4 linked regions of the Lonchura striata genome follow. The protein of the gene in region 1 purifies or fractionates together with the protein of each later gene. This does not show direct contact. Links are inferred from orthologs where the notes say so. Each region holds a gene or a part of one and is shown on either strand. Other genes may lie near its edges.

Evidence for each region.
Region 2: the proteins of SMARCC2 (region 1) and DPF2 purify together in Homo sapiens (affinity purification with mass spectrometry; 8 studies listed by BioGRID and IntAct, counting the BioPlex papers as one, with this or other methods). This does not show direct contact. The link is inferred for Lonchura striata from reciprocal best matches to the Homo sapiens genes SMARCC2 and DPF2.
Region 3: the proteins of SMARCC2 (region 1) and TBL1XR1 fractionate together in Homo sapiens (co-fractionation; 3 studies listed by BioGRID, with this or other methods). This does not show direct contact. The link is inferred for Lonchura striata from reciprocal best matches to the Homo sapiens genes SMARCC2 and TBL1XR1.
Region 4: the proteins of SMARCC2 (region 1) and BCL7B purify together in Homo sapiens (affinity purification with mass spectrometry; 3 studies listed by BioGRID and IntAct, counting the BioPlex papers as one, with this or other methods). This does not show direct contact. The link is inferred for Lonchura striata from reciprocal best matches to the Homo sapiens genes SMARCC2 and BCL7B.

Annotation. Positions count from the first base shown.
Region 1 is NC_134629.1:5,444,165-5,451,536, forward strand, and holds the start of SMARCC2 (SWI/SNF complex subunit SMARCC2), read right to left. Parts: upstream 3,009-7,372; 5' UTR 2,961-3,008; coding exon 2,850-2,960; intron 2,689-2,849; coding exon 2,569-2,688; intron 1-2,568. UniProt on the Homo sapiens protein: Involved in transcriptional activation and repression of select genes by chromatin remodeling (alteration of DNA-nucleosome topology).
Region 2 is NC_134638.1:227,614-235,074, reverse strand, and holds the start of DPF2 (zinc finger protein ubi-d4), read right to left. Parts: upstream 3,018-7,461; 5' UTR 2,953-3,017; coding exon 2,921-2,952; intron 550-2,920; coding exon 389-549; intron 1-388. Other genes in the region: uncharacterized protein LOC110478861, read right to left, coding at 6,473-7,461. UniProt on the Homo sapiens protein: Plays an active role in transcriptional regulation by binding modified histones H3 and H4. Is a negative regulator of myeloid differentiation of hematopoietic progenitor cells. Might also have a role in the development and maturation of lymphoid cells.
Region 3 is NC_134612.1:20,899,126-20,906,122, reverse strand, and holds the start of TBL1XR1 (F-box-like/WD repeat-containing protein TBL1XR1), read right to left. Parts: upstream 3,016-6,997; 5' UTR 2,667-3,015; intron 1,716-2,666; exon of another isoform or gene 1,658-1,715; intron 1-1,657. UniProt on the Homo sapiens protein: F-box-like protein involved in the recruitment of the ubiquitin/19S proteasome complex to nuclear receptor-regulated transcription units. Plays an essential role in transcription activation mediated by nuclear receptors.
Region 4 is NC_134622.1:786,572-793,708, forward strand, and holds the start of BCL7B (B-cell CLL/lymphoma 7 protein family member B), read right to left. Parts: upstream 3,007-7,137; 5' UTR 2,957-3,006; coding exon 2,865-2,956; intron 2,552-2,864; coding exon 2,476-2,551; intron 1,758-2,475; coding exon 1,661-1,757; intron 759-1,660; coding exon 522-758; intron 317-521; coding exon 237-316; intron 1-236. Other genes in the region: TBL2 (transducin beta-like protein 2), read right to left, coding at 3,634-4,090, 5,039-5,191, 5,819-5,945, 7,062-7,137. UniProt on the Homo sapiens protein: Positive regulator of apoptosis. Plays a role in the Wnt signaling pathway, negatively regulating the expression of Wnt signaling components CTNNB1 and HMGA1.

The sequences.
Region 1 (7,372 bases):
GTGTCCCAGGGTCCCCGGCACTGTCCCCAGCACTCCAGGCCATGTCCCTGACCAGGGCACTGTCACTGGCCGCTGTCCATGGTCAGCTGCTGTCCCCGAGCCACCAAATGCTGAACGGTGTCACCAGGGCCGTGTCCCTGAGGCTTTGGGTGCTGTCCCTGCTCAGGGTCGTGTCCCCAGGTATTGGGGTGCTGTCCCTGCTCAGAGCTGTGTCCCCAGGTCTTTGGGGACACGGCCCCAGGGCTGTCCCCGTCTCTGGGGCACTGTCCCTGCTCAGGACCCTGTCCCTGGTCATCATTGTCCTTGTCCCCTTTTCACTGGGGCTCTGCCCCAAGGTTTGGGGTGCTGCTTCTGCATTTTTGGGATGCTGTGCCCATTTAGGCCTTGTCACCCTGTCCCTGGGTGCTGTCCCCAAGTCCTGGGGTTCTGTTCCTGAGCACTCAGATGCTGTCCCTGGGTATTGGGGTGCTGTCCCCACTCAGAGCCTTGTCCCCTGTTCTTTGGAGCTTTTTTGGGGGGCTCTGGGGCCCCATTCCCACTCAGCTTTGTCCCCAGGTTTTTGGGTTGCTGCATGTGGGGCACTGGGGCCTCATCCCAGGGTCATTGGGGTCTGTCCCCAGGCCTTGAGGGCACTGTCCCTGCTCATCAGGGTCAAAAAATCCCTGGGTCCCCAAATCCCTGGGGTCCCCAAATCCCTGGGTCCCCAAATCCCCAAGGCTCTGTCCCTGGGATTTTGGGGTGCTGTCCCCAGGTCTTTGGGCTCTGTCCCTGGGCACTGGGGTGCTGTCCCCAGGTCTTTGGGCTCTGTCCCTGCGATTTTGGGGTGCTGTCCCCGAGGCTTTGGGCTCTGTCCCTGCTCAGGGTCTTGTCCCTGCTCAGCAGGGCCCTGTCCCCAGGCACCAGGGCTCTGTCCCTGGGCATTGAGGGGACATCCTGAGTACTGGGATGCCTTCCCTGGATATTGGGGTGCTTTCCCCAACCTGGGCTCTGTCCCCTCTTCTTTGGTTCTCCCCCCTGGGTTCCTCCAGGACCCCATCCCAGGGTCATCCCTGCACTTTTGGGGCTCTGTCCCTGCTCAGAGCCTTGTCCCCGCTCACCAGGGCCATGTCCCCAGCTCTGAGGGATGCTGTCTCCACATCTTTAAGGCACTCTCTCCAACCTGGGCTCTGTCCCCACCTCATTGAGGCGTTCTCCCCATCCTGGGCTTTGTGCCCTCTTCTTCGGGGCTCTTCCCCAGCTCACCGGGGTGCCATCCCCAGGTCTCTGGGCTCTGTCCCTGCTCACCAGGGCCATGTCCCCCGCTCTGAGGGATGCTGTCCCCACATCTTTAAGGCACTCTCCCCAACCTGGGCTCTGTCCCCACATCTCTGAGGCGTTCTCCCCAACCTGGGCTTTGTCCCCCATTCTTTGGGACTCTTCCTCATCTCACCGGGGTGCCGTCCCCAGGTCTTTGGGCTCTGTCCCTGCTCAGAGCCTTGTCCCCGCTCACCAGAGCCATGTCCCTAGCTCTGAGGGATGCTGTCCCCACATTTCTGAGGCGTTCTCCCCAACCTGGGCTCTGTCCCCACCTCATTGAGGCGTTCTGCCCAACCTGGGCTTTGTGCCCTCTTCTTTGGGGCTCTTCCCCAGCTCACTGGGGTGCCATCCCCAGGTCTCTGGGCTCTGTCCCCGCTCACCAGAGCCATGTCCCCCGCTCTGAAGGATGCTGTCCCCACATCTTTAAGGCGTTCTCCCCAACCTGGGCTTTGTCCCCCGTTCCTCGGGGCTCTTCCCCATCTCACTGGGGAGCCGTCCCCAGGTCTCTGGGCTCTGTCCCCGCTCACCAGAGCCATGTCCCCCGCTCTGAGGGATGCTGTCCCCACATCTCTGAGGTGTTCTCCCCAACCTGGGCTTTGTCCCCTCTTCTTTGGTTCTCCCCCCAGGTCCCTCCAGGACCCCATCCCAGGGTCATCCCTGCACTTTTGGGGCTCTGTCCCTGCTCAGAGCCTTGTCCCCGCTCACCAGGGCCATGTCCCCCGCTCTGAGGGATGCTGTCCCCACATCTTGAAGGCACTCTCCCCAACCTGGGCTTTGTGCCCTCTTCTTCGGGACTCTTCCTCATCTCACCGGGGTGCCGTCCCCAGGTCTCTGGGCTCTGTCCCTGCTCTGAGCCTTGTCCCTGCTCACCAGAGCCATGTCCCCAGCTCTGAGGGATGCTGACCCCACATTTCTGAGGCGTTCTCCCCATCCTGGGCTCTGTCCCCTGTTCCTCGGGGCTCTTCCCCATCTCACCGGGGTGCCGTCCCCAGGTCTCTGGGCTCTGTCCCTGCTCACCAGAGCCATGTCCCCAGCTCTGAGGGATGCTGTCCCCACATCTTTAAGGCACTCTCCCCAGCCTGGGCTCTGTCCCCACCTCATTGAGGCGTTCTGCCCAGCCTGGGCTTTGTCCCCCGTTCTCCGGGGCTCTTCACCCGGGCACCACGAGCGTCCATGCCCGCACCTCCGGGGCCCCGTCCCTGCTCAGGGCCTCGTCCCCCGCTCCCCGCGTGTCCCGGCCGCGGTGTCCCCGCGTCCCCCCGCGGCTCTCACCGGCAGCTTGGTGAGGGGCGCGTTGCTGACGTGCTTCCCGAACACCTCCTCCTGGAACTGCAGCAGCTGCACCACCAGGCTCGACAGCGACTTGTTGGTGGGGGGCTCGGCCTGGATGTACTGCGGGGCCGGGGCTCAGCGGGGCCGGGGCTCAGCGCGGCCGCCGCGGCCGCTGAGGGGAGCGGGGCGGGGTGGGGGGGGCGCGATGGCGGCGGCGGCGGCGCCGTGACAGGCCGGGCCCGGCGGGCCGGAGGGCGGCCCCGCGGTTCCCGCGGACCTACCTTCTTGTAGTTCTTGCCCAGCCACAGCCGCACGTTGTCGAACTGGCTGACGGTGTCCGAGGCCTCGTAGTACTTGACGTTGGGGCCGCCGTCCTTCTTCCGCACCGCCATCTTGAGCGGGCCGGGCCGCGCCGCCGCCTGCGCCCGCCGCTGCCGCCCCCTGCCGGCGCCGCGCCGCCACTGCCGCGCCCGCCGCTCGCTGTCCCCGTTCCCGGTCCCTGTCCCCGTTCCCGGTCCCTGTCCCCGATCCCGGTCCCTGTCCCCGATCCCGCTGTCCCCGATCCCGCTGTCCCCGTTCCCGGTCGCTGTCCCCGATCCCGGTCGCTGTTACATCCCCGCCGCCCGCCTTGGTGCCCTCCCGTTCCCGCACTGCCGCTCCCGCCGCCCCCGCTGCCGCCCCCTGGCGGTGCCGCTCCGGCACTGCCGCCTCCGCCTCTCCCGCCCGGTCTTGCCGGTGCCGGTCGCTGGTCCCGCTCCCGCCCGGTGGTTCCGGTCCCGGTCGCTGGTCCCGCTCCCGCACCGCCACCCCCGATCGTTGTTCCCGACCTCGATCGTTATTCCCGGCCCCGCCGCCCCCGTTCTACCGCCCGCCACCGGTCCCGCTGCGCCCGCCACCGCCTCCTGCTGGTCCCGTTCCCGCCGTTCCCGCTGTTCCTCAGGCGCCGTTCCCGGTCCCGGGCGCCGTTCCCGGCCCCGAGCCCCCGCTCCACCGCCCGCTGCTGGTCCCGCTGCCCTCGGGCGCCGTTCCCGGTCCCGGGCGCCGTTCCCGGCCCCGAGCCCCCGCTCCACCGCCCGTTGTTGGTCCCGCTGCCCCCGGGCGCCGTTCCCGGTCCCGGGCGCCGTTCCCGGTCCCGGGCGCTGCTCCGGCCCCGAGCCCCCGCTCCACCGCCCGTTGTTGGTCCCGCTGCCCTCGGGCGCCGTTCCCGGTCCCGGGCGCTGTTCCCGGTGCCGGGCGCTGTTTCCGATCCCGGGCGCCGTTCCCGGCCCCGCCGCCCGCGGGTGCGACAAGAGAGGCACGACAAGGAGAAATGGGTTTAAACGAGAGGAGATCGGGCTCGGACGGGATTCGGGGAGGAAATTCCGCCCTGGGAAGGGCTGGGATGGATTTCCCGGGACAGCCCCGGGAGCGTTCCAGGCCGGGTTGGACGGGGTTTGGAGCAGCCTGGGATGGGGGAGGGCGTCCGGAGGGAGCCCCCGGACGGCACCGAGCACCGGGCTCCGAGCATCAGGCACCGAGCACCAGGCACCGGGCTCCGAGCACCGGGCACTGAGCACCAAGCCGGGTACCGAGCACCGGGCACCGAGCACCAGGCACCGGGCACTAAGCACCAAGCCAGGCACCGGGCATTGAGCACCAGGCACCGAGCACCAAGCCGGCCACTGAGCACCGGGCGCTAAGTACCAAGCGGAGCACCGAGCACTGGGCAGCGAGCACCGGGCACCAACAACCGGGCACTGAGCACCGGGCACTAGGCACCAAGCCGGGCACCGGGCACCGGGTACCGGGCACTAGGCACCGGGCACCGGGCACTAAGCACCAAGCCAGGCACCGGGCACCGAGCACTGAGCACCGGGCATTGAGCACCAAGCTGGGCACCGAGACCAAGCCGGGCACCGAGCACCGAGCACCGAGCACCGGGCATTGAGCACCAAGCCGGGCACCGAGACCAAGCCGGGCACCGAGCACCGGGCACCGAGCACCGGGCACCGGGCACCGGGCACCGGGCGGGGGCGGGCCGGGAGCGGCGGCGGGCCCGGGTCTATGCGGAGCGCGGCGGACGGAGGCGCCAGAGTCACGGTGGCCGAGTGGTTAAGGCGTTGGACTCGAAATCCAATGGGGTTTCCCCGCACAGGTTCGAATCCTGTCCGTGACGCCGCGCTCGCTTTTGCTGCCGGCGAACACACGTGGCAGCTGCCCCGGTACCGGCTCTTTTAACGGCGGGAGCGGCACGGAGCCTTCCGCCCTCCCTAGTGGCTCCCCTAACGGCGGGAACAGCGGGGAAGACACAGCCTCAGCCTCCGGTACCGGCTCCTTTAACGGCGGCAACAGCACCGATCCCCCAATCCCCGGTACCGGCTCCTTTAACGGCAGGAACAGCACCGATCCCCCAATCCCCGGTACCGGTTCCTTTAACGGCAGGAACACACAGATCCCCCAATCCCCGGTACCGGTTCCTTTAACGGCAGGAACACACAGATCCCCCAATCCCCGGTACCGGTTCCTTTAACGGCAGGAACACACAGATCCCCCAATCCCCGGTACCGGTTCCTTTAACGGCAGGAACACACAGATCCCCCAATCCCCGGTACCGGTTCCTTTAACGGCAGGAACACACAGATCCCCCAATCCCCGGTACCGGTTCCTTTAACGGCAGGAACACACAGATCCCCCAATCCCCGGTACCGGTTCCTTTAACGGCAGGAACACACAGATCCCCCAATCCCCGGTACCGGCTCCTGTAACGGCGGCAACAGCACCGATCCCCCCACAGGTCCTGGCTCCTCTAACGGGGGTAACCATAGGGATCCTCGCTCGGTTACCGGTCCTTAACGGCGGCAGCAGCGGTAACAACACGTGCTCTCCCTCCGGTACCGGCTCCGTTAACGGCGGGAGGATCAGAGAGTCCCCACGCCTCGGTACCGGGTCTTTAAGGGGTGGGAACATTGGGGAACCCCCTCTAATCCTTTAGGATTAGTTCCTTTTTGGGTCCTTTAGGGGTGGGAGCAGCAGGGACCCCCCAGACCCAGTCCCGGCTCTTTTTGGGGTGGGAACAATGGGGACCCCCCTAATCTCAGCTCTTTTTGGGGTGGGAACAATGGGGACCCCCCTAATCTCAGTTCTTTTTGGGGTGGGAACAATGGGGACCCCCCCTAATCCCGGCTCTTTTTGGGGTGGGAGTAGTGGGGACCCCCCAGACCCAGTCCCAACTTTTTGGGGTGGGAACAATGGGGACCCCCCCTAATCTCGTCTCTTTTTGGGGTGGGAACAGTGGGGAACCCCCCCAAGACCCAGTCCCAGCTCTTTTTGGGGTGGGAACAATGGGAACCCCCCTAATCCCAGCTCCTTTAGGGTCAGGAGCAGCAGGAACCCCCCAGTCTCAGTCCCATCTCTTTTTGGGGTGGGAGCAGCAAGAACCCCCCAAAACCCAATCCCAGCTCTTTTAGGGTTGGAAACAGTGAGAACCCCTCTAATCCCGGCTCTTTTTGGGGTGACAGCAGCAGGAACACCCCTCTATTCTCTGATCTTTTAAGGGCAGAAGTGGGGACCCCACTCCGGTCCCGGCTCTTTTAGGGGTGGGAACAATGGGGACCCCCCCTAATCTCAGCTCTTTTTGGGGTGGGAACAATGGGGACCCCCCAGACCCAGTCCCAGCTCTTTTTGGGGTGGGAACAATGCGGACCCCCCCTAATCTCGTCTCTTTTTGGGGTGGGAGCAGTGGGGACCCCCCAGACCCGATCCCAGCTCTTTTTGGGGTGACAGCAGCAGGGACCCCCCTCTATTCTCTCATCTTTTTAAGGGCAGCAGAAGTGGGGACCCCACTCTGGTCCCAGCTCTTTTAGGGGTGGGGACAAGTTCATCCTTTTTGGGGGGCACATCTGGGGGGCTTCGGAGCCCCCAGACCCTCCGTCACCCCCATTCCCTCCCTGGAGTGACATTTATCGATCCCCAGATGCCCCAGGATGGGGAGGACAGCCCCAAACTCACCCATTTTTACCCCAAAACCGAGCCCCCCGACACGGGGAGGGTTTTGGGGTGCAGGAGGAGGCCCCCAAAGCGGGGATAAAGCAACCAGAATTCTGTTTATTGATCACTTCAATCCCTGCCTCCCGCCGGATCTGCCGGGACCGACACCGGAGGAGAAAAATGGTAAAAAATAACCCAAAAGAAACGCAAATAAATTAAATTCCCAACGAGTCCCACGGACCCAGGCCAGAGGCGCCTGCCTACGGTACTTGGAAAAAAAATCGAATAAAAAGGGGGAGTAAAAATGAGAAAAGGTCCAAAAAAAAAAAAAAACAAAAAAAATTGAAGTACAAAAGAAAATAAAATACAGATCCACGATCACGAGTGTCTGGGAAGCAACAGCAAGGGTGGAGGAAGCAGAGTGGGAGGAGGTGGGGGATGCCCGGGGGGAATTCCAGAATTCCAGAGGGGGCGAGGAGAGGGAGCTCGGCAGATTTGGGGGGACCCCCGAGGGGTCTGGCAGTGCTGGAGCCCCCGCCGCCCCCTCCTCGCTGGGTTTGTAACGGCTCCAATCAAGCGAAGAACCCGAAAATTCCAAGTCCAGAAATTCAATTTTTCCTGCCGTCCCAGGATGGAGAAAACGTTGATTTTTTTTTTTTTTCCAAATCTCCACGCCACGAGCAAAAAAAAAAATCACAAACCCTAAAAACACCGAGTCCGGGAAACCCCACAGCCATCCCGAGGTGGATTTTGTTTTTTGTTCTTCAGATTTCTTCCACGCTGCGAGCGAAAATCAAAAACCCTAAAAATGCCGAGTCTGGGAAACCCACCCCCACAA
Region 2 (7,461 bases), on another chromosome or scaffold:
CCCATCATTTCCCCATAATTTCCCTGTTGTTTCCCCATCATTTCACCATTGTTCCCCATCATTTCCTCATTGTTCTCTATCATTTCCCTGCCATTTCCCATCACTTCCCCGCCGTTTCCCCACCATTCTCCCATCACTTCCCCACCATTCTCCCATCACTTCCCCACTGTTCCCCATCACTTCCCCACTGTTTCCCATCACTTCCCTGCCGTTTCCCATCACTTCCTCACCATTCTCCCATCACTTCCCCACTGTTTCCCATCACTTCCCTGCCGTTTCCCATCACTTCCTCACCATTCTCCCATCACTTCCCCACTGTTTCCCATCACTTCCCCGCCATTTCCCATCACCGTTTCCCCGCCGTTTCCCCGCCGTTTCCCCGCCGTACCGGGCCCGCGGTGCCGTTTCTCCATCCAGATGTAGCAGTTGCTCTGGGCCACGCCGGTCTGCGAGTCCAGGAAGGGCAGGCGCACGCTGCGCTCGGCGCAGAGCCGCGCGTTGTAGCTGTGGCACTGCTCCATGGCGTCCCGGTAGTACTGCTCGCCCAGCCTGCAACGGCACCGCGGCACGGCGGCGTTGGCGCCGGGAACGGCGGGATTGGCGCTGGGAACGGCGGGATGGGCACAGGGAACGGCGGGATGGGCGCTGGGAATGGCGGGATGGGCGCTGGGAATGGCAGGGATGGGCACAGGGAATGGCAGGGATTGGTGGTGGGAACGGCGGGATTGGCGCTGGGAACAGCGGGATTGGCGCTGGGAATGGCAGGGATGGGCGCTGGGAATGGCAGGGATGGGCACAGGGAACAGCGGGATGGGCACCGGGAACGGCGGGATGGGCGCTGGGAACGGCGGGATTGGCGCTGGGAATGTCAGGGATGGGCACAGGGAACGGCGGGATGGGCACGGGGAATGGCAGGGATGGGCGCTGGGAATGTCAGGGATGGGCACAGGGAACGGCGGGATTGGTGCTGGGAATGGCAGGGATGGGCACAGGGAATGGCGGGATTGGTGCTGGGAATGGCAGGGATGGGCACAGGGAACGGCGGGATTGGTGCTGGGAATGGCAGGGATGGGCACAGGGAATGGCAGGGATGGGCACGGGGAATGCCGGGATGGGCAAAGGGAATGGCAGGGATGGGCAAAGGGAATGGCAGGGATCAGTGCTGAGAGTGCCGGGATTGGCACCGGGAATGCCAGGATGGGCACTGGGAATGGCAGGGATGGGCATGGGGAATGCCAGGATAGGCACTGGGAATGGCAGGGATCAGTGCTGGGAGTGTTGGGATCGGCACCGGGAATGCTGGGACTGGCACAGGGAATGGCAGGGATGGGCACGGGGAATGCCGGGATGGGCACAGGGAATGGCACAGGGAATGGGAGGGATTGGCAAAGGCAATGGCACGGGGATTGGTAGGGATCAGTGCTGGGAACGCCGGGATCGGCACCGGGAAAGGCGGCATGGGCACGGGGAACGGCACAGGGAATGGGACGGGGAATGGCAGGGATGGGTACAGGGAATGGCGCAGGGAATGGGAAGGATTGGCACAAGGAATGGCAGGGATTGGCACCGGGATTGGCAGGGACGGGTACAGGGAATGGGGAACCTCTCAGGGATGTCAGGGATACCAGGGGAGTGTCAGGGATACAAACGGAGAGACTCGGGGATAAAATCCTGGAGAATATCAGGGATAAACCTGGAAACCCTCAGGGACAAAATCCTGGAGAATATCAGGAATAAACGTGGAAATCCTCCGGAATAAAGTTTCCAATTTCCCATTCCTTGGCTTCTTCAGGACACTCTCACAGGGGCGGGAAGGGAAGAGATGAAGCCAAGGGATGGACAGGAAAACACAGGGATTTACAGGAAATACGGGGATTTACAGGAAATACAGGGATTTAAAGGTAAATACAGCAATACACAGGGAAATACAGGGATTTAGAGAGCAATACAGGGAATTAGAAGGAAGCACAGGAATATACAGGGAAATGCAGGGATTTCGAGGGAGATACAGGGATTTTGAGGGAAATACAAGGATTTCGAGGGAAGTACAGGGAAGCTCCCCCCAGCTCGGCCTCCACAGGACCCTCTGGCAGGGATGCACAGGGAAGCAGTGCAGGAATAAGCAGGAAGGTACAGGGATATTCAAGCAGTGCAGGAAAAAGCAGGAAGGTACAGGGACATTCAGGGATATTCAGGGACATTCAGGGATATTCAGGAATATTGAAGGAGGCACAAGGACTCTCCAGGGGTGCACAGGGAAGCAGTGCAGGAAAAAGCAGGAAGGTACAGGGACATTCAGGGATATTCGGGGATATTCAGGGATATTCAGGGATATTGAAGGAGGCACAGGGACTCTCCAGGGATGCGCTGGGAAGCAGTGCAGGAAAAAGCAGGAAGGTACAGGGACATTCAGGGATATTCAGGGATACTGAAGGAGGCACAGGGACTCTCCAGGGATGCGCTGGGATGACTCCCCCGTCCTTGGCCTCTCCAGGACGCTCGCAGACGGAGTTTAGGGCCACACGAGGGAGCACAGGGAAGCACAGGGATACGATCCAGGGAATTTTCCAGGGGCGAACCCCCGCCTTTGCCCTCTCCAGGACCCCCTCAGGGCCAGACTGCGGGACCCCCCCGGCCCCTCGGGACCCTCGCAGGCTCTGCTCTCCCCTCACACCTCTGCGGCCCTCCCGGTGCCGGGGGAGGATTTTGGGGTGTCCTCAACGCCCCCCTCAGCAAAGTTCACGGCGAACAATGCGCGCGTGTCGCTTCCTCCCCACCCCCCTGCCCGCCCGCTTGGTCCCGTCCGGCGCGCGCGGGGCCAAGGGGGGGCCCCGCTTCCCGCGCCCGGCCGGGCCGCACCATTCCCGCGCCGCGGGGGGGAGACCGGCGGTGTGCGGGGAGGGGGGGGAGCCGCACTCACAGCTTGACCACATTCTGAACCACCGCCGCCATCTTGGCTCCGCCGCCGGGGCGCCGCGGGGCGCGTGCGCGGAGGGAGGGGCGGGAGGGGCGGGGAGGGGGATGATGGAGGAGGAGGAGGAGGAGGAGGAGGAGGAAGGAGAGGGATGGAGGGAGGAGGAGGAGGAGCGGGGAGAGGGAGGGTGGGGAAAGGGGAGGCGGAGGGAGGGAGAGGGAGGGCCGGGGGAAGGGAGCGCGGAGTCCTCCCGGCCGCTGGGGGGCGCTGTGCGCCGCGCGCGTGCGCGGGGGGGGGGGCGCGAGAAAAGGCGGGAAAAGGGGGAGTGGGGGAGGGGCGAAAGCCTGAGGGGAAAAATGGCGGGAAAAGGATCTGAGGGGGGAAAATGCACGAAAAAGGAGAAAATCCGGGAAAAAGGGGCGGCTGAAGGTACGGGGAGGAAGGGAGGGCGTGGGGATGAGGGTGGGAGGCAGAGTGGGGGATACGGGGGGAGACTGAGGGGAAAAATGGGAGAGAACAAAGCACGAGAGTGAGGCAAAAATGGACAGAAAGTGAGGGCGGAAATGATGGCAGAGGATGAGGGGGTTTATCGTGGAAAAAGGAGATTTGAGAGACCGCACTGCTCCCTAGATTCCCTGGAATGGGGCTGGGGGTGAGATCCCTTCTCCCCATGGATAAAACAAAAGGAACAGCCCCGAGTTGTGTCAGGGGAGGTTTGTTCAGGAAAGTCCCTGGAAAGGGTTGTCCCACCCTGGGGTTATCCCAAAAAAAGCCGGGATGTGGCACATGGGGACGCTGTTCAGGGGTGGCCGGGTTGGATTTTGATGATCCCAAAGGTTTTCTCAGCTTTTCCATGGAATGGGGTGAGAAGAGGGAGGATGGGGAGGGATGGAGGAAGGAAGGGATAACATGGAAAGAGGGGTGAGGGTTGGGAGGGAAATGAGGGATAAATTGGGGATGGGGGAATGAAATGAGGGATGAACAGCTGGGAGAGGGGAAATGAGGGATAAATTGGGGATGGGGGAATGAAATGAGGGATGAACAGCTGGGAGAGGGGAAATGAGGGATAAGTGAGGATGGATCCCTCAGATCCCCCCAGATTCCTTACGGCTCCTCATCCCCAAAAACTCCTGCCAAAAGTTCCCATTGTTGAGCTCTTTTCCCTTTTTCTCCAACCTGAATTAACCAAGTGTCCCCAAATTCATCCCTCAGGACCGAGGTCACCCACAGACCCCACGGCGAGCGTGGTTTGATGGCAGCTTCCAGGTGAGTTTTCCTTTCCAGGTGAATTCCTCATTTATTTCCAGGTGAATTCCACATTCCAAGTGAGTGCCTCAATTCCAGGTGAATTCCCCATTTATTTCCAGGTGAATTCCTCTCTCTTTTTCCTCCTTATTTCCACATCCTACCTGGGTTTTTTTTTCCCTGTTTGCTGGGAATTTGCGTTTCTCCCCCAAGGTCACCCCCTGGTCAAACCTTCCTCCTCCTCCTCCTCCTCCTCCTGGTAATCCCAGGCCGGCTGTTGCTCCGGCTCCGTTCCCGGCTCCGGCCACGCCGGGGGTCAGGCACTGACCGCTGGCGTGGGCGGCGTTAATCCAGCGGAAATCCCGGGATAACGAGGAAATTGGGAGGGAGGCCTGTGCCCCTGCTGGGGTTAATGAACGATTCCATCCTTGATTGAATCCGGAGTTATTCTCCAAAAAGGGAGGGGGAGCTGAGTCAGGGCTGCTCCGGATGACTCAAATTCTTGGAATTGGGAGCAAATCAGCAGCTGTGGTTTGCATAAATCATTAATTCGGGGAGTGATTAATTAGGGGAGAAGTGAAGGAGGCTCCAATTCTGTGGAAAGGGATCCCAAATGATTTATTCATTAATTAAAAGTTAATTAAGGAATTTGTTTTTTTTTTTTTTTTCAGGAGATGAGATTGAGGGAAAAAAAACATTTCAGGGATAATAACACTAATTTTGGGGATAATTTCAGGGGTTTATAGCAAGTTGGTCTGGGGGGTGTGGGAGGGAGGGAAGAGAGAAAGGAGGGGAGGGGGGGAGAAAAGCAAAATCACCTTTTCAAGGTTAAAAAAACCCCAAATTTGATAAATTAAAGGAGCTTTTCCAGGACTGGAGCAGAGAGAACAGAAACGAGTGAACGAGATCCCAGATTAAAGCTGGAGCACCCCAAAAGTCAGCCCTGGGTTGTGGAAGGGAAAAAACCGGGACACAAAAGGGACAAAACAGGAAAAAAGGGGATTTTGGCTGATTTTGATTATTTCGAAACCGCTCCGGCAGCGACGGTTTCGCAATTCCTGGGCCGAGGTGGGGCACAAACAGCTCCATCTTCAAATCACTGATTAAGGTGGAAGCCAGGAAAACTGGGGTGAAATCCAGGAAAAAAAGTCCATCCACATTGTCCCAGCCCAGCTCGCGCTGGAAAACCCCCAAACCACAGAAATCCACCCAAAATGAGCCGTGCTGGGCTGGCTTCCCTTCACGTTGGTCCGAGTGGCAGCTGTGGCGTGTCTGGAGCCACCTTCCCATCCCAATCTCTGGGGTTAATTAATCACAAATGTCCCGAGGGTTAATTAATCGCAAACGAGGCTCTGAAACGGCTGGAATTGATTTGGCGAGGAAAAATCCCAAAATAAATAAAATGTGGACAGAGTGTGGGGGGAGAAAAGAGTTCAGAGCAGGGAAGAGTTGGACCAAATAGAAATTAAACCTGATCGAGCCCAATCAACCTCGGTCTGCTAATTATTTTACAGACGAAAACGTTGGGAAATAGGTTTATCCCCAAATTCTGGGTGTTTGCACCAAAAGCGGTTTACCGACGCAGAGGGGGAGGGGAAGGAAGAGGCGGGACAAGGGTTCGTTAAGGAGAATCTAATGAGTCATTAGTCAGATAATCTAAATTAGACTCGCTGGTCAGGAGGGGCCCGACTCTGCCCTGGGGGGATCCCGGCCTCATTCTGGGCTCAAACTCCCCGGAATCGGGAAAAGATGGAATTTGTGACAGGAGCCTGGGCAAGGAGGCCCCGCGAAGTCACCGGCAGCGTGTCCAGCTGGGTTTTTGTCCCATTCCCCAAAATCCAGCTGGAATTCCCCGTTCCCGCCGCTCCCAAACAGTCGGCGGCGGATCCGTCGGCCCGGATCGGGATTTTGGGTTGGTTTTGCGTCTCCTCGAGGATTCCCAGCCCAGCCCCGCTCCTGCCGGCCCCAGAGGGGTTTTTTGGCCCCTCCGTGGATTGAGTTCCTAAAACAAGAGCCCTGCTCCTCCACGGGGACTTTTGGCTTCTCCACGGGGAGTTTTGGCGAGATCTCCCGGGGGAGATTGCCCCGTCTGGGATTTCCAAAGGATTTCACGGAGCAGGAGTTGAAGTGACGGCGCCGTGACGGTTCAGAACAAACCCCGCTGCGCCCCCAAATCCTCCTGGCCGGAATCTTTGGGAATTCATCCCAAAAGAGGAATTCATCCCGCGGGGTCCGACGGACACGGGGTCGCGTTTCCAGTGGTCAGCTCTGGCACTGAGGAGAGCTCGGGGGTTCTGCCCTGAGGGCGAACCCTCACCCGGCGAGAGGAAAGGCGGAAAATGAGCTGGAATCCAAGCTGGAATCCGAGCTGGGATCCGAGCTGGGATCTGAGCTGGAATCCGAGCTGGGATCTGAGCTGGGATCAGAACTGGGATCTGAGCTGGGATCTGAGCTGGAATCTGAGCTGGAATCTGAGCTGGGATCCGAGCTGGAATCCGAGCTGGGATCCGAGCTGGGATCTGAGCTGGGATCTGAGCTGGGATCTGAGCTGGGATCTGAGCTGGAATCTGAGCTGGAATCTGAGCTGGGATCCGAGCTGGAATCCGAGCTGGGATCCGAGCTGGGATCTGAGCTGGGATCTGAGCTGGGATCTGAGCTGGGATCTGAGCTGGGATCTGAGCTGGGATCTGAGCTGGAATCAGAGCCAGAATCTGAGCTGGGATCTGAGCTGGGATCTGAGCTGGAATCAGAACTGGGATCTGAGCTGGGATCTGAGCTGGGATCTGAGCTGGAATCAGAGCCAGAATCTGAGCTGGGATCTGAGCTGGGATCTGAGCTGGAATCAGAACTGGGATCTGAGTTGGGATCTGAGCTGGGATCTGAGTTGGGATCTGAGCTGGGATCTGAGCTGGGATCTGAGCTGGAATCAGAACTGGAATCCGAGCTGGGATCCGAGCTGGGATCTGAGCTGGGATCTGAGCTGGAATCCGAGCTGGAATCTGAGCTGGGATCTGAGCTGGAATCCGAGCTGGAATCAGAACTGGGATCTGAGCTGGAATCCGAGCTGGGATCTGAGCTGGGATCTGAGCTGGGATCTGAGCTGGGATCCGAGCTGGGATCTGAGCTGGGATCCGAGCTGGGATCTGAGCTGGAATCAGAACTGGGATCTGAGCTGGGATCTGAGCTGGGATCAGAACTGGGATCTGAGCTGGAATCCAAGCTGGAATCAGAGCCAGAATCTGAGCTGGGATCAGAGCTGGAATATGAGCTGTAGTCAGAGCTGGGATCTGAGCTGGGATCTG
Region 3 (6,997 bases), on another chromosome or scaffold:
CGAGACCACTGATGTTCACAAAGCTGTGTGTTTTACAAGACTTCCTGACTTCTGCACGATTACATCCTTGTAGGATGTGGGTCTTTACTGCCACTACAAAACTTATAACAGCAAACACATTCTGACTCAAATGTGAAGTCCACATTCTATTAAATTCCAGACCAAAATGAAGTTAGGTAAAATAACTCAGTTTGCTTTACGTTATTCAGATCTGTTCTTCCTAACTTAAAACAACATTATCAGCAATTTTGGCCATTTCCCCTAATCCGTCCAGAGCCTCTTTATGCCTAGGGCTCTAGCACTTTTAAGGATCAAACTCTTTCATGATGGGAAAATGACTATGAAGTATTGCTGTTGGGTACTTAGCGCTTATACCCTGCCTTACAACTTCAAAGCATTACACAAACATCAATAATTACCATATATAGAGTAAAACTGAAAGAAGTATTCATATTTAAAAAGAAACTCACAAGAAAAAAAGTTTTAACTACCTGTTTGAAAGAGGAAAAAAAGCTTAAGCAACAGAATCTTCTGTAATTATTGTGTTCTTTATGCTACAAACACACATTCTGGCTGTGCATGTTCAAACAAACAAAAACTATACACTCTTGCAAAGTCTTAAAAATAAATTATAAAGCCCAAAAGCCAAACCCCAACCCTTCTCATACATTTAAATTACATTTCCTTCTCTTTTCCTCAAGGAATGAGAGCTAAGTGCTCTCCAGGTGTTCCCAATAACAGTTTGGGAGGCAGGCCACCAAGCTCCCAAGATAGAGTACCAGAAAACACAGTTCTCATGGAGAAAAATCCAACTTCCCCCAAGAAACCTTAAGATAGCAACAGTGCAGTGGCTCAGGTGACCTTAGGTAAATAATACAAAATGTTATCATTCCATTAAACCTTAAACAAAACCAAAGGGGGAAAAAACACTAGAGAAAACCACAGAAAGTTTGTTTCAATCAATTACAGGGCACCACCTGTGGCCTAAGCACCATCCCAGCCCCTTTTTCCAATGGATAAGGACAAAAACCCCTTCAGAGCTCATCCACAAGCACATACCCACTCACTTAAATTTAAGGACACACACGGGAGCTTGCAGTCCAGTCCTCATTTGGAACATATTCCAAAAAGCCCTTTAACACACATGTCCAAAGGAAGGCCCCAAATACAATGTGAGCCTCACGTGGACAAGCCTTCAGGTTACTCAGAGCAGGAAGAAGGCTGGAAACTGCCCCAAAGCCCAGGTACAACCAAACCCCAAATACCAACTTTGCATATGGTGCCCTTGATGCTAAAGGAGCACAACGCACAACACCCAAAGGGCAGAGACCATCAACAGTAAAGAACCTTTTTAAAGCACACAACGTGCTCAGACATTTATTTTAGCACAGAAGGAGAGCAAAGCAAGTCAGACAAGCCTACAAAACTCTTTTTTTTATGCAACAAAGACCTGTTTCTCCTGATCATGCCTCCCATGCCTTAACAATAAGGAAGGAATATGTTTTGTGATCCCCTCCCCCATAAATCAGTTAGGAATTTGATTTACACAGACAGGAAAACGAGGAAGTCGAGCACACTGGAGAGTAGTAAAAACTTCACCAGCAAACTTCACTTTCCTACACAGCGACCTACAAACCAAACTTTCCTCCAGACTCACGTGTCATCTGCAGCAACCAGCCCCTGCCATAAAGCACAGACAAAGTTTTGCTGTTCTGGGGATAAAGACAAGCGAGGGAGAGACTTTTATTCTGTCAAGCTGCCTTAAAAGGAAATTCGGTGATGAAAGATTAAATTCACCTGGAACAACACGATAAATTTTAACCCTTTCGAGGGTACAACAATAACAAGCCACATATTTCAGGACTTAAATCCTCCACCAATAAAACAGTACACACTGCATCAACCGTGCGAGCCCCTCTAACTGATGCAAGACACAATTTACACCAGGGTTTCGGACGGGGATAAGCCCTGGCAAGGAGAGACGCTGTGAAATGGGAGAATAAAAGCTTATTTTATGCCCCGAAGCGGGCCCGCTCCCTGCCACCGCGGGGCACCGCATGTTCCAGCCCGAATTCCGCCGGAAAACTGATCAATAACTTGGCTCTGGGGGGGTGAACATCGGGAATGGCCCGGGGGTGGGGGTGTATCCCCTCCCCAGCAACGGGGAGTCGGGATGGGGGAGAACTCCGGGGAGCGGGGGAGGGGAAGGGCCTCCCCTCCCCCATCCCGACCGGGCCCTCCCCCCTTCCCCTCCCCCCAAGTAAATATGCGGGAAGGGGGGGAGGGGAAGCCGCTCTTCCCCACAAATCGGGCTAAAAATAGGCCTCTCGCCATGGCTCCCGTGTGCCATTCGCTGCCGAGGCCGGTGTCCCCCCCATCCCCCGCTCCATTAAACCTTTTCTTCTTTTTTTTTTTAAAAAAAAATGAAGGCGGGTGGGGGAGGGGAAGCCAGCGGCGCGGGGTGGGGGAGGGGTGAATATGTGTATATATACATAAATGTGTCTGCATATCTATCTATGCATGTATATATACACATACTAATAACAACGGGGGGTCCAGAGGAGCCCCGTCCCCCTCCCGCCCGCACGGACACAAACAGGGCGGCCGCCCCCACCCCATCCCCGGCCCCTGCCCGCCCCCGGGGCTCGGAGCCCCCCGGTTCTTACCTTGCGAGCGGCTGCTCCCCCTTTCCCAGGGAACGGAGGCACGAGGAATTCACCCTGGATTGTCTCTCCTCCTCCCGTGTGTTTTATACCGCCGCGTGTATATACGCGCACATCCCTGCCAGTGTGAGCGTGTGTGTGTGTACACGCGTATAGTTATCGATTATATTTATATATATACACACACATATATATATGTATTTTTAAGGTGTCCACACCGAGAGGAGGAGGAGGAGAAAAAAAAAAACACCAGGAAAAAAAAAACCAACAAAACCACCACACACACACAGGAGGAGGAAGGAAAAAAAATACCCAGCGCGTAGCGCTGTGATATTCAATTATATCCGAGCCAGGGGCCGGGGGAGGGGAGGGTGGGGAGGGCGGGTGGGGGGGGACTGGAGATTAAGTCCCGAGGAAGGAGGGGAAAAAAAAAAAAAAAAGTAATATGTGTGTGTGTGATTGAGATTGAGGAGGGATCGGGGCGGAATGTGGGAGCTGTTACTGGGGGAAGGAGCCAAGCGGCGCGGAGCAGCCGGCGGCCCGCAGACACTCCGGGTGCCCGGCCGCGCCGAAATGGGCGCCGGCGGAGGGAAGGGAAGGGAGGGAAGGGAGGGAAGGAAGGAGGAAGGGAAGCGGCGAGCCTCGGGAGGCGAGGCCAGGCGAGGAGGAGCGGCCGGGCCGGCCGCAGGAGCCCGGCGCGGGGCTCGGACGGGAGCCCGCGGGCCGCCGCCTTCCCCGGCCGTGCGGAGGGAGGCGGCCGGGCACGGCGGGCCCAGGCCGCGGAGCTTTTTCTGGGAAAGACGTTAAACTGCGCTGCCGACAGGGCTTATGTAAATGCAGGATGTAACATGGTGGTTTTGCCTCTCGCGGCCCGTCGCGGTTGGCGATGGCACCTGGCACCGGGGTCCAGCCCCGTGTGGGCACCGCGCTACCGCCTCTGCCCTCTCCTTTCATGAAAATAATCCTCCGCAGCACTAACGCAATGGCCTACCTGGGTGCTGCTCATTTTTACAATTGAAATGCTGTTTGTCATCTATAGGGCCGCATTGTTTGTTTTTGAAAGCGAGCTTTGTTAATCAAAACCACATTCGTCACCAGGCAGCCCTTTCCATCTTAAAATGGTTTTGCAAGAGCATTTCACGCTCTTGGGCGACGGTCCAGCACTCTCATGTCCGGACATTGGCACCCGTGCAGAGTCCCAGTGACCACAAACCCTGCACAGATCCGATGGAAACATCCGATGTTATCCCAGCTCCACACACGCCAGCCCAGCTCTGGTGCTGCTCAAACAGGGTGTCCACATCTCCACATCACCACACTCAATTTCAGAGCTTGATTTCGCTGCAGCTGGCACTGCATAAAGAGCTGGTCATGAATGTAGTGTCTTTTTTCTTTCGTCTTCTTTTTTTTTTTTTTTTCTTTTTTTTTTTTTTGTGAATAGACCATTGCCAGAGAATTATGCTAGTCCTAAGGCACCAGTTCTGGATTTTACCTTCAGTCTAACACCTGGGATATACCATAGGCAGATTTTGCCTACCTGAGCATCATTACACAAGCAGATGGAGTCCATCCACTCCACAAAGCTTTGGGTAGGTCTCTGGGTGTAGAATCCTCTTATAGTACTCATTTTCTTCAGGGTCAAACCCATGCGTTTTTCCTTCCTTTCTGAAGAAAAATATTTAAATACAGGCCAAAGTCATGTAGAGAAACATAAATCTCTCTAGGAAGCCAGGAAGCACATTTGTAATTGCAAATCTTGGTGTCCAGCATTTATTTGTGTAATGACTTTGGTGTCCCAAGTGAGCAACTTTCTCTTCTCACTAATGGTGTGGAGGCTGTCTGCTTCAGGTATGTAAAGAGGCAATAGTTTTGAACACTATATCCAGTCTAGCTCCAAAATTTGCTGAAAGTCAAGAAATTTAAGAGGGAAAGGAAAAGTGGCAATGCACTCATTAACACATTCACACATTATAATCTTAGATCTGTCCGTGCTTCTAATGGAGTTGGACCTTCTGATACTCTGATTTATTTCCCAGGTGAAAGAAGATAAGCAGTAACAGTGTGTGGAGGAAGGGAAATGGGAATATGCACATAGCCTAAGGCAAGAGGAAAGGGAATTCTTCTGGGGGACTGGGGGACAGCAGGGGCCTAGAGAAGGATATCTGAGAAGTCCATGAAATGGGAATGAGAGGTGTGACATTCAGAAAGCTTGTGTGAGAAACGGGGGAGGGAAAATCCCTGAAGTGTGCGTTGTTTGGCCCTCAGGAACTACAAACACTGTCTTCCCATCCATCTGCCGAGCAGCGACAACGTGCTGAGCTGAAGTCATCTGGCTGAAGGTTTCCGTGGTCTGGTGTTCTCCAAATGTTCGGTCGCGGCTCTGGGGTGCCAGGCTCTCTTTTTTAACATGGTGATGTGCTCAACTGGGCAATTTCCCGAGAAGTTCTGTTCTGCAGAATCTACAAAGTGAATTCTGGTGGATTTGTGCTTTTAATAGTCATCCCTCATCTGTTTTGTTCTGGTTTCCCTTGTTTCACGAAGGCAAACACCCCGCAGGACTGCACAAACGCCTCTCACTGTCTGTTATGAGCTTTAGCCTTTGCAGTTCTCTTGCCCAAATGTGCAGCTGGATTCAGGGCTACAGGGGACACTTCCAGAGCGTATGGGAAGGAGGCTCTCCCTTTCAGAGGTTTCCAAGAACGGATGTTGGGCAACACGGGGCAGTTGAGCAGGTTGTGGTTTACAGCAGATTGTTCAGTGAGCGAGCTGAGCTCAGGGAGTTGGCTTTGCCCTCTGGGAGAGCCACTTCTAAACAATAACTCTTGTTACACTTCCCAAAGCAGCAAGAAAGATTGGACAAAACCCTAACTTTCAGATGTATAACTGGAGCAGATCCGAGGTCTCGGTTCACTTGTGTGTTTGAATAAAAGCACGCTTTCTGAAGTTCTTCAGTGACACAGCTGCTCGCAGCCAGTGGATCCATCATCCCAATGACTGGAAAGTCTTCTCATGCCCATATTTTTAAGACGCATCCTTAAAATAGTTGAAATGACTTGTAACAGGGAGTGCTCGGCCTACCAAGCACATATAAGCAAATATTTGCAATAACTGGCCCAGTGTTTGCACAGCACCAAGCACACTGCCTGGACTCCATAAATAATAATACTTGGCACTTGCAGAGTGGTTTCCATTTTCAAAGCACTTTAGTCATAACCCTTGACACCTATACGGCCTTTTACATCTTTACAAGAATTAATTAATCCTCACAATGCCCTGTGAGGTAGGTATGCACTGCAATAATAACAATAACAACAATTAATAATTCATGCATTCTACTCAAAAATCACTTCAGGGATTAAAATGCATCTGTAATACTTGGGGTTTATTAACATTTTCCAGCAAATAATAAAACCCATGCTATTGTGTTAAATCTATATAATATCCATCCATAAATCTTGTGCAGATTGGAGCGAGACTGAAGGCGCAGCGAGGCACCAACACACCAGCAGGAAGCAGATGGCTGGCTCCAGAAAAGTTCAAGCCCAGTCCACACACAATCCAGGTGCCAGAGTGGAGCCCACCACGCACGGCAGCACGTAAATAAATACCAGCGAATCAGGAAGGCTTTTTGTTCATTTTTAGCTCTTGTTTCTGCAGGGGCTCCCCCAGGCTGGGGTGCTGAGCCCATCCTGCACAAACACAGCACCAGGAGGGTGCAGGCTCCTGGTGAGGAAGGGCAGTGACTCAGCACCGCGCTGAGCAGGGAGCAGGGAGGAGCCTGGACAGCACCAGGCAAACACTTTCCCTCCGCACTTTCCCTCATAAAAATTACCATAGTGCCTTTGATATGCAGGCAAGCCCCAGTTAAACCTGATATTTAAACCAGCGGGACTTAAACCCTGTCGATTTAAACAGGAGAGCCACCAGGCTCCCACGGGGCAGCTCTGGGTTTGGCAGGGCAGAGGGGGGACCAGGCTCCCCACACGGATGGATCCCCCACAAAGATGCTGTTGTCACTTTGCATCCCAAAGTGGATTAATGAAAACCACAAGGGCACTTTAATCCTAATGAGTAGGTACTCCCACACCCTAGCAATTCCACCAAGACTTCCTCTGAGTCGGAAGCACTGAGCAGTTCGGCCCAGAGACCTTCATATTCTTAAGACCTTTTCTTTCCCCCTCAATTCGAGAGAGATGTCAACATTAAGGAAAAAAAAAACCCTCTAAATTATTTTTATTTGTATTGTGCATACTGAGAAAGGAAACAGAGGTTCACGGTTGGAAGACAGTGGTTCTATTCCTTTTGAGGCTGCTGACAATGACTCTTTGCAAGGA
Region 4 (7,137 bases), on another chromosome or scaffold:
TAGTTTTCGCACACCCCCATATCCTTCCCTCACACTTCAACACTTGATCTGAACCAGGGGATAAAGACCAAAGCTCAGAAAACCAGGAGGTTCTGGGAGCTCCCAGGGGGCACTTTGGGACTGCAGAGCAAGTCCATCCACCAAGATGCTTCAGCTACAAGAAGTAGCAACAATGGTCAAAGGGCCAGTCTGGGTCCAAGCACATTTAGAGATGGCTTCAATCCCCCTTCCCTTACCTGAGTCTCAAGAGGGACTGGCTCTTCCTTTGTGAGAGTGGGAGGCTCATCTGCCACTTCTGAGGAAGGCAGGGAGGGCTCTGGGGAGAACAGGTGGGTCAACAAAAATGCAGAGCCAGCACCCAGCTCAGTGCTGAACCAGGATAGAACACCTAGCTACAGAAGTCCCCGATGCCCTGGTAGCTTCCAGAAGCGCCAAGGCCACCCACCAGACCTGCAACAGCCCTGGAGTGGCCTTCCCTGAGCCCACCCATCTGCCTGCTCCCTTCTTGGCCCAGCACCCACCTTCCAGGGTCTCCTGCCCCAGGGTAGGAGGCTGCGAGTCATCCGTACGGAAGTCAGACGTGTGGGCAGGACTCATAGACTCACTCTGCTGAGGACTGGGGCTGGAGTTGGGGCTGCTGTCCACCTTGAGCTGGTATACATCAGACAAGGAGCTCTGGTTGCTGTTCTCATCTGCAGAAACAGCACCTGGTGAAGAAGAGCACCTTGACACAGCGGCACAGGCAGCCCAAGGTCCTGCTGAGATGGCAGAGCATGGTCAGAGAGTTAACCAGGGGATTCACTGTTCCCCGTCAGCCTAAGGGCTGTCAGGCACAGGACTGAGTCCTCCAGAACACAGTGGGAATCATATACATAACTGGCCATGGCAAAGGGAATGTTCCTGCCCTGGGAATGAGAACTGCCAAATTCCACATCTGCAGCTTGGGAGGGCCCTGGGCATCCAAAGAGCAGGAATCTCCTGCTCTGTATTAGGGTTTTGCTCCTTCTCTGTGAAGCAACACAAGGATTAATACTCAGCACCTGTCTCCCATGAGAAAGCAGGCCTGACACACACCTTGCCAAACTGCAGATCTGCAACATAACCCCACCACATCTCCTGAAGTGCCAGCAAATTCCTGATTTTCCTTAGCCACACACAGAGAAGGGGTTGGGGAGATGTGTACATTCTATTTCAGCAGTGAGTCTTGCTCTGCCAGAGCCTCTCCTGGCTGCACCACAGTGCCTAGACCAAGAGCAAGGCCACGGAGAGCCATTGCCCCTTCACCCTAAGGTCCATGGAAATAACTGTTGGAAAAGCAATCTTGGCTACAGGTGGCTACTGGACTCTCCCAAGCAGAGAATGGAAAGGGGTGATCAGGAAACCCCACTCCTCTAGTCAGCTGTGAAGCTTCCCACAAAAGAGTCCAGAAACAGCCCATTAAGAATCTCTAACAGCAAAAAGGAACAGTTTAGACAGAAACAATCCAGAAGTGGATCAGCCCAACTCCACAGCTCAACTTCATAGCTCTCTAGTCCACACCAGTGCTCAGAGGCAAGCACTGCTCTTCTCCATACAGGCAGCACAGAGAACCAGCAATGTCCCAGCTGCTGTACAGCCTTGGAGTCTTTCCCCATGCTGAAGGGAGCTCAGCCAGACCCACCTTGGAACTCCAGAAGGAGGGAGGAGTTGGCAGAGGTGTCAGCTGGGAAGCCATTGGGTTCTCGGGCCGTGCTGCTACTTGATTTGGATTTCTCTTTCTTAAGGAGAGAAAGAAAAGCACAAACACAATGTCAGAGAAACACATGCTGCTCCAGAGGAGCCATTCCCCTTTCTGTCTCCAGAAGCCCAGAGAGATGTGCTCAAGCTGGCCTTTTTCCCTTGCCTTTGGGGGCACATTCCTAAGTGAGAGGAAAAAACTCCATCTATGAAGGGACTGGAAAGCAGGAAAAGAGAGGAGGAGCAGACGCCCATCTAGGAATGACACTGAGTAAAGCAAATCCTTGGAGGAGTCAAGCAAAGAGTCTTAAGGGAAGCAGGAGGGGGCTCAAGGGAGCTCAGGGGGCTTGACAGTTCAGGGGATGCTCAGGTTGGCTGAAGGGGCCTGTTGGGGCTGGGAGGGGGGCCCAAGAAGGCTCGACAGGGACTTGGTGGGGTTCGGGGTCAGCTTGGGGGGGGATCAGGGGCTTGGGGGCGCTGGGAGGATCACAATAGGACAGGAGGGGCTCGGTGGGGCCTCAAAGGTCCTCAGCAGGGCTGGGAGGGCTCAGCGGGGCCTCAGGTGCTGGCTTGGAGAGGGCTCAGGGATCGACCTGGAGGGGACTCAGGGGGGTTTGGCGGCGTTCGGCGGAATCGGGAGGCTCAGGGATGGCTCGGTGGTCGGTAGGGCTGGGGAAGGCTCGGAGCTCAGCTGAAGTTAAGGGAGCTAGGCTGGCTGTGGGCGGTGGCTCCTGGCTCGTCTCCGCGCGCGGTACCCACCTCCTTACTGTCCGCCACTGGCACCCACTTGAATATCCGCAGGGACGTGTCACCCACCGTCACCCATTTCTTCTCCCTGCGAGACACGAGGGGGCCGGGCCGGGCCGGGGCACCATGGCAACAAGCCCCGCCCCCCGCCACCTTCCGGTTGGTCCGGAGCGCCGTCAGTTCCGCACCGGGCGGGCTGCCCCGCCCACCGCACTGCCATTGGCTGCACTCAAAGCCCATCACAGCCGCTTCCGTCCCCGCCCCGACCCCATTGGCCACCGCCCCTCCGCCCGCACCCGCTGGTTGGGCGCGCACTTCCGAGTCGCACCCCGCGGCGCGGCGATTGGCCGCGCGCGGGCGGCGCGGCCCTCCCCCTCCCCCCCCCGCGGGCCCGCCCTCACCATCTGCGGACGCGCTCGATGGCCGCCATCACCTTCTTGATGTCATCTTTGGCGCGGCTGCGGGTCTCGGCCCGCACCGAGCGCCCCGACATGGCGCGCGCAGCCCCGCAGCACCGGCCCCGCCGCACCCGCCGGCGCACCCGGCCCCGCGCACGCGCACTGCCTGGCCCGCCCGCGCGCTGCGCCTCCTGCGTCACCGCGCCCGACACGCCCCGGCTGCTGCGCCTGCGCAGACGCACGCGTCTGACAGCGGGCGCGGAAACGACGCGCGCGGGAAGCGGCGGTGCAGCGGTGGTTTCCCGTGGGGCACGTCCCGCTGCTCGATTCCCCCGAGATCCCGGGCCGAGGGAACGGGGCCACCCCGAGTCCGCTGCACCGTTACAGCACTGCCCCGTTCCCTGCAGCTGAATCCCTACCGTTCAGTATCAACACTGAACTTTGTCAGTTCTCTTGGAAAAAAAAAAACAAACGAAACAACTAACCATAAAACCTACCCCAAATGCACGCAACTCCCAATTCTAAGCTCAGGAGAACTCATAGGCATTGCCTTAGCAATCAATTCCATGGGATACTGATGATCTAAGCCCTGAGGGGAAAACAACACATGAATGTGACACTAGGAGATGCCACTGTCCCCAGCCCTGTCTTGCCATCACAGAGCACGCAAGGAAGAACCTGGGCACTCTGTTTATTATTGCTGTTCACAGTTATTTAAAAAAAAATAACACCCCCAAGGGAGAGTGCAGTTGCCTCCTGCTGTACAGGTAGCTTAGTACTTCTTGCCATAGATAGCAGCCAATGCTTTGTGAGCGCTGGAGATCTGCTGCTCCAGCCTCTCCTGCATGGCTTTGTTGCCAGTTTTTTTCAGCATGGCCTCCATCTCCTCCACCACAGCACGATGCCCAGCAGCGTTGTGGAAGACATGGATAGCACGATCCCCACAGGACACGATATAGCGGCCGGTGGTGTCAAACACAAGGTCTGTGACACAGTGGCTGTGCACGCCAAGAAAATGCTCCTCCTCCTCACCGTGCCGTGTGTTGTACACCACGATGTCTGTGCCGCCCGCCACGGCGACCGTGCGGCTGTCAGGGGACAGGGCAATGCGGCATGGCTCCGGCACTGCACACTGCCCTGTCAGAAGCAGATATGGGTCCTGCTGCTTCTTGTACTCCACATCTGTGTCCCAGAACTTCCATGTGCCATCCTTTGACACGGTTGCCATCCTGCAGCCAAAAGAGATCACGGTGAGTGTGTGGAAAAAGGGTGGCACCTCTTACCCTGCCCTGCCCATGAACCAGGAATCCTGTGGAGAGAGATCTCTTGGGAAGGGTGAGTCAATACACAGATACAGTCTCTGTTCTCTTTCCAAAGCAAAAAACCTACTACTAGACCAGGCTGCTCCAAGCTCCTTCCAATACAGCCTCAAACACTTCCAGGGATGGGGCAGCCACATCTTTTCTGGGCAACCTGTGCCAGGGCCTCACCACCCTCACAACCAAGGCTTTCTTCCTAATGTCCCACCTAACCCACTCTCCATCAGTCTGAAACAATTCCCCCTTATCTTGTCACTTCAGGCCCCTGTAAATACTGTCTCATCTTTCTTGTCAGTTCCCTTCAGGTCCTAGAAAGCCACAATTACATAACCTGAAACCTTCTATTTTCTAGGCTCAGCAATTCCAATTCTCTCCACCTTTCCTCATACCAGACCTGCTCAATCCCTCTGATCATGTTGGTGTCTCCTCTAGACTCACTCCAGCAGCCCCGTGTCCTTCCTGTGCTAAGACCCCAGAGCTGGAGGCAGCTCTGCGAGTGGGGTCTCACATGAGTGGGGCACAGGGGCAGAATTTCCCTCTCCTTTGTTACCCATGTGCTGTTTCTGGGCTGGGTCATGTCCATCTCTCACCTACCAGCACTCCCAGGCTGCTCTCAGTCTGTTCATCCCCAGCCTGGATTGATACCGGGGGTTGCCCTGATCCAGGTGCAGCATCAGCACTTGGTCTTGTTAAACCACATGAGATTCCTATGAGCAGGGAATACATAGGTGGCATGAGCTAGATTTGGCTCCCCAGGGTAGTGTTTTACCCCCTGCAGTTTAGTGATGCAGCTGGTGAACCCTGGAAGAGATGAGCTTACATGTTGTTAGGGTAACTCGGAGCAGGTAACACACATACCTTCTTGAGTCATTGGAGAAGGAAAAGGATTGTACACCAGCAGTGTGGCCTTTCAACTCAAAAGCCCTGGTCACCTCCCTGAAGTCTCCGTTCTTACTAAAATACACTTCCCACACTTTCACATCAGGGGTAAAGCCACAGGATGCCACAAACCTGTGTGAAGGAACAGAAGCAGAGACACAGGTTGCCTCTTAGAGAGAACCTGAGCAAGGCAGGGCCACAGTTCTGCAAATCCATCCTGACTCCTGCACTCAAGCTGAATTTCCACTTTTCTCTGAAACCTAGCTGGTAAAGGGAACACTAAGGAAGGGTACCAGAACAACTCAGGAATGAGAAACTCTTCGGTCAAAGTAGAAGAGCTAAATGCTATGGATCCCCAAACTCCTCATGCCAGGAGCAAGGCAAATCCAGCTACAGCAGCAAGTGATTTTCCCAATTAACAGATTTCCCAGGAAAATAATCTTTATTTTTATAATTAACCTTTAAGAGGTCACAGACAAGTTCAAAATGCTGTTTTCTTTGCAGAGGGCATTTGCTCTGTCCCACCCCTGCTACCTGAGACCAAAGCTGCTCTCAGGTTACCAAAACAGCAGTGCTGAGGCAGAATAGCAACACAAGAGTGCCTGACCCCACATCAGCTCCATCTCCTGGAGGGCCAAGATATCTTTTTAAACTGTGGAACCCTCAGAAAACTGCATTGCAATAACAATTAACTGCCAATGGTCTGAACTGATGCTATGCTGTGCAAAAGAGTAGCCTGGAATCCTGCCTGTCACTCACCTCCCACAGGGTGACACTGTGGCATAGGCATTGTTCATCTGGTTGGTGTTAATGCTGGCCAGGACTTTGCCCTTTGGGCTCCAGATCAGGATGGTTGTGTCACTGGAAGCTGTCATGATAAACTTCCCTGGGGAAAAAAAGGCAAAGTTCAGGAGAGCCCCCAGACCTAACACTGCCACAGACTCAATGAAGCCCCAGGATAACCTCTCCCTGCAGCTGGAGAAAACCACCAGCAGCACCAAAATCCAAGGAGTGTCAGTCTCCTAGGACAGAGTAAAGAGCAGTATCAGAAGACTCAGCTCCTGGTTATGCCTGAGTAGTCCCCTGGCTCCCAAGCAGGCAGCAGGCACTGAGCCCATGTGTGCCCTATACTCAGGACTCTGAGCCCCACAAGCAGAGCTGGGAGCCCCATGTGCAGCCCCACTGGGCTGTGCCACATACAGGAACAAACACTTCACCTGATCTGCATGCCCAAAATCAGCTTGAGGATAAGCACCTTTCAAGCTATGGATTGCAGGCAGGCAACTGAATCCCAGTCACAACCATGATCCACAGACCACGATCCATTATTGCTGGTTGTGCCCATACTGGACTCCTGCTTGTTCCCATTTCCCCTTTGCCACTTCAGCCCAGGCAGGGAGTTGCCTGTTTACCTTCCAGCTACTTGTTGCAGGTTTAAGTTTTCACTTTCACACCCCCAGTTTCAGTTAATATTTTACCTGACCTCCTATTACAGAGGTGAATTCACATCCACCTGCTCCCAACTGCCACTGGCACATACCTGACACATTAATCCATCAAGCCCTCACCACTAAAATGTAATTTCCACCCACCCACCCCCACCTCTGTTCTAGATGATCCCAGAAGCTCAAGGTAGACCATATTAACTCACTAGAGAGATTTCTCACTGGTTAAAGAGAGACTGGCAGCCCAGAGAACAGCAATCCTCTCAATATTGAGGCCAGACCTCTTTGCAACAGCATCTCTGAAAATGTAAATTAAGAAACTGTGCATATCAAGGAGCTGGTTACAGGGATATTATTGGTGTGAAAACAACACCTTTTGGTTCAGTTGGTAGCAAATTAAGTAAAAAAATCCCTAATAGACTACAGAGTTTAGTACAGAGTTTAGTACTGATGCTGTACACAGCCCCGAGAATGCCAAAAACTCCAACACTTTGAATCAAGCAGCTTCACAAGGAAATAAAAGCTTATCTGGAGAGGTGAGCAGCTCATTTCCATACCTGTCTCTGCAATCCCTATGTTAATGACAGGAGCCTTGTGCTTCTTTGGGAAGTCCCCAGAAGTCGCAGTGAAGGT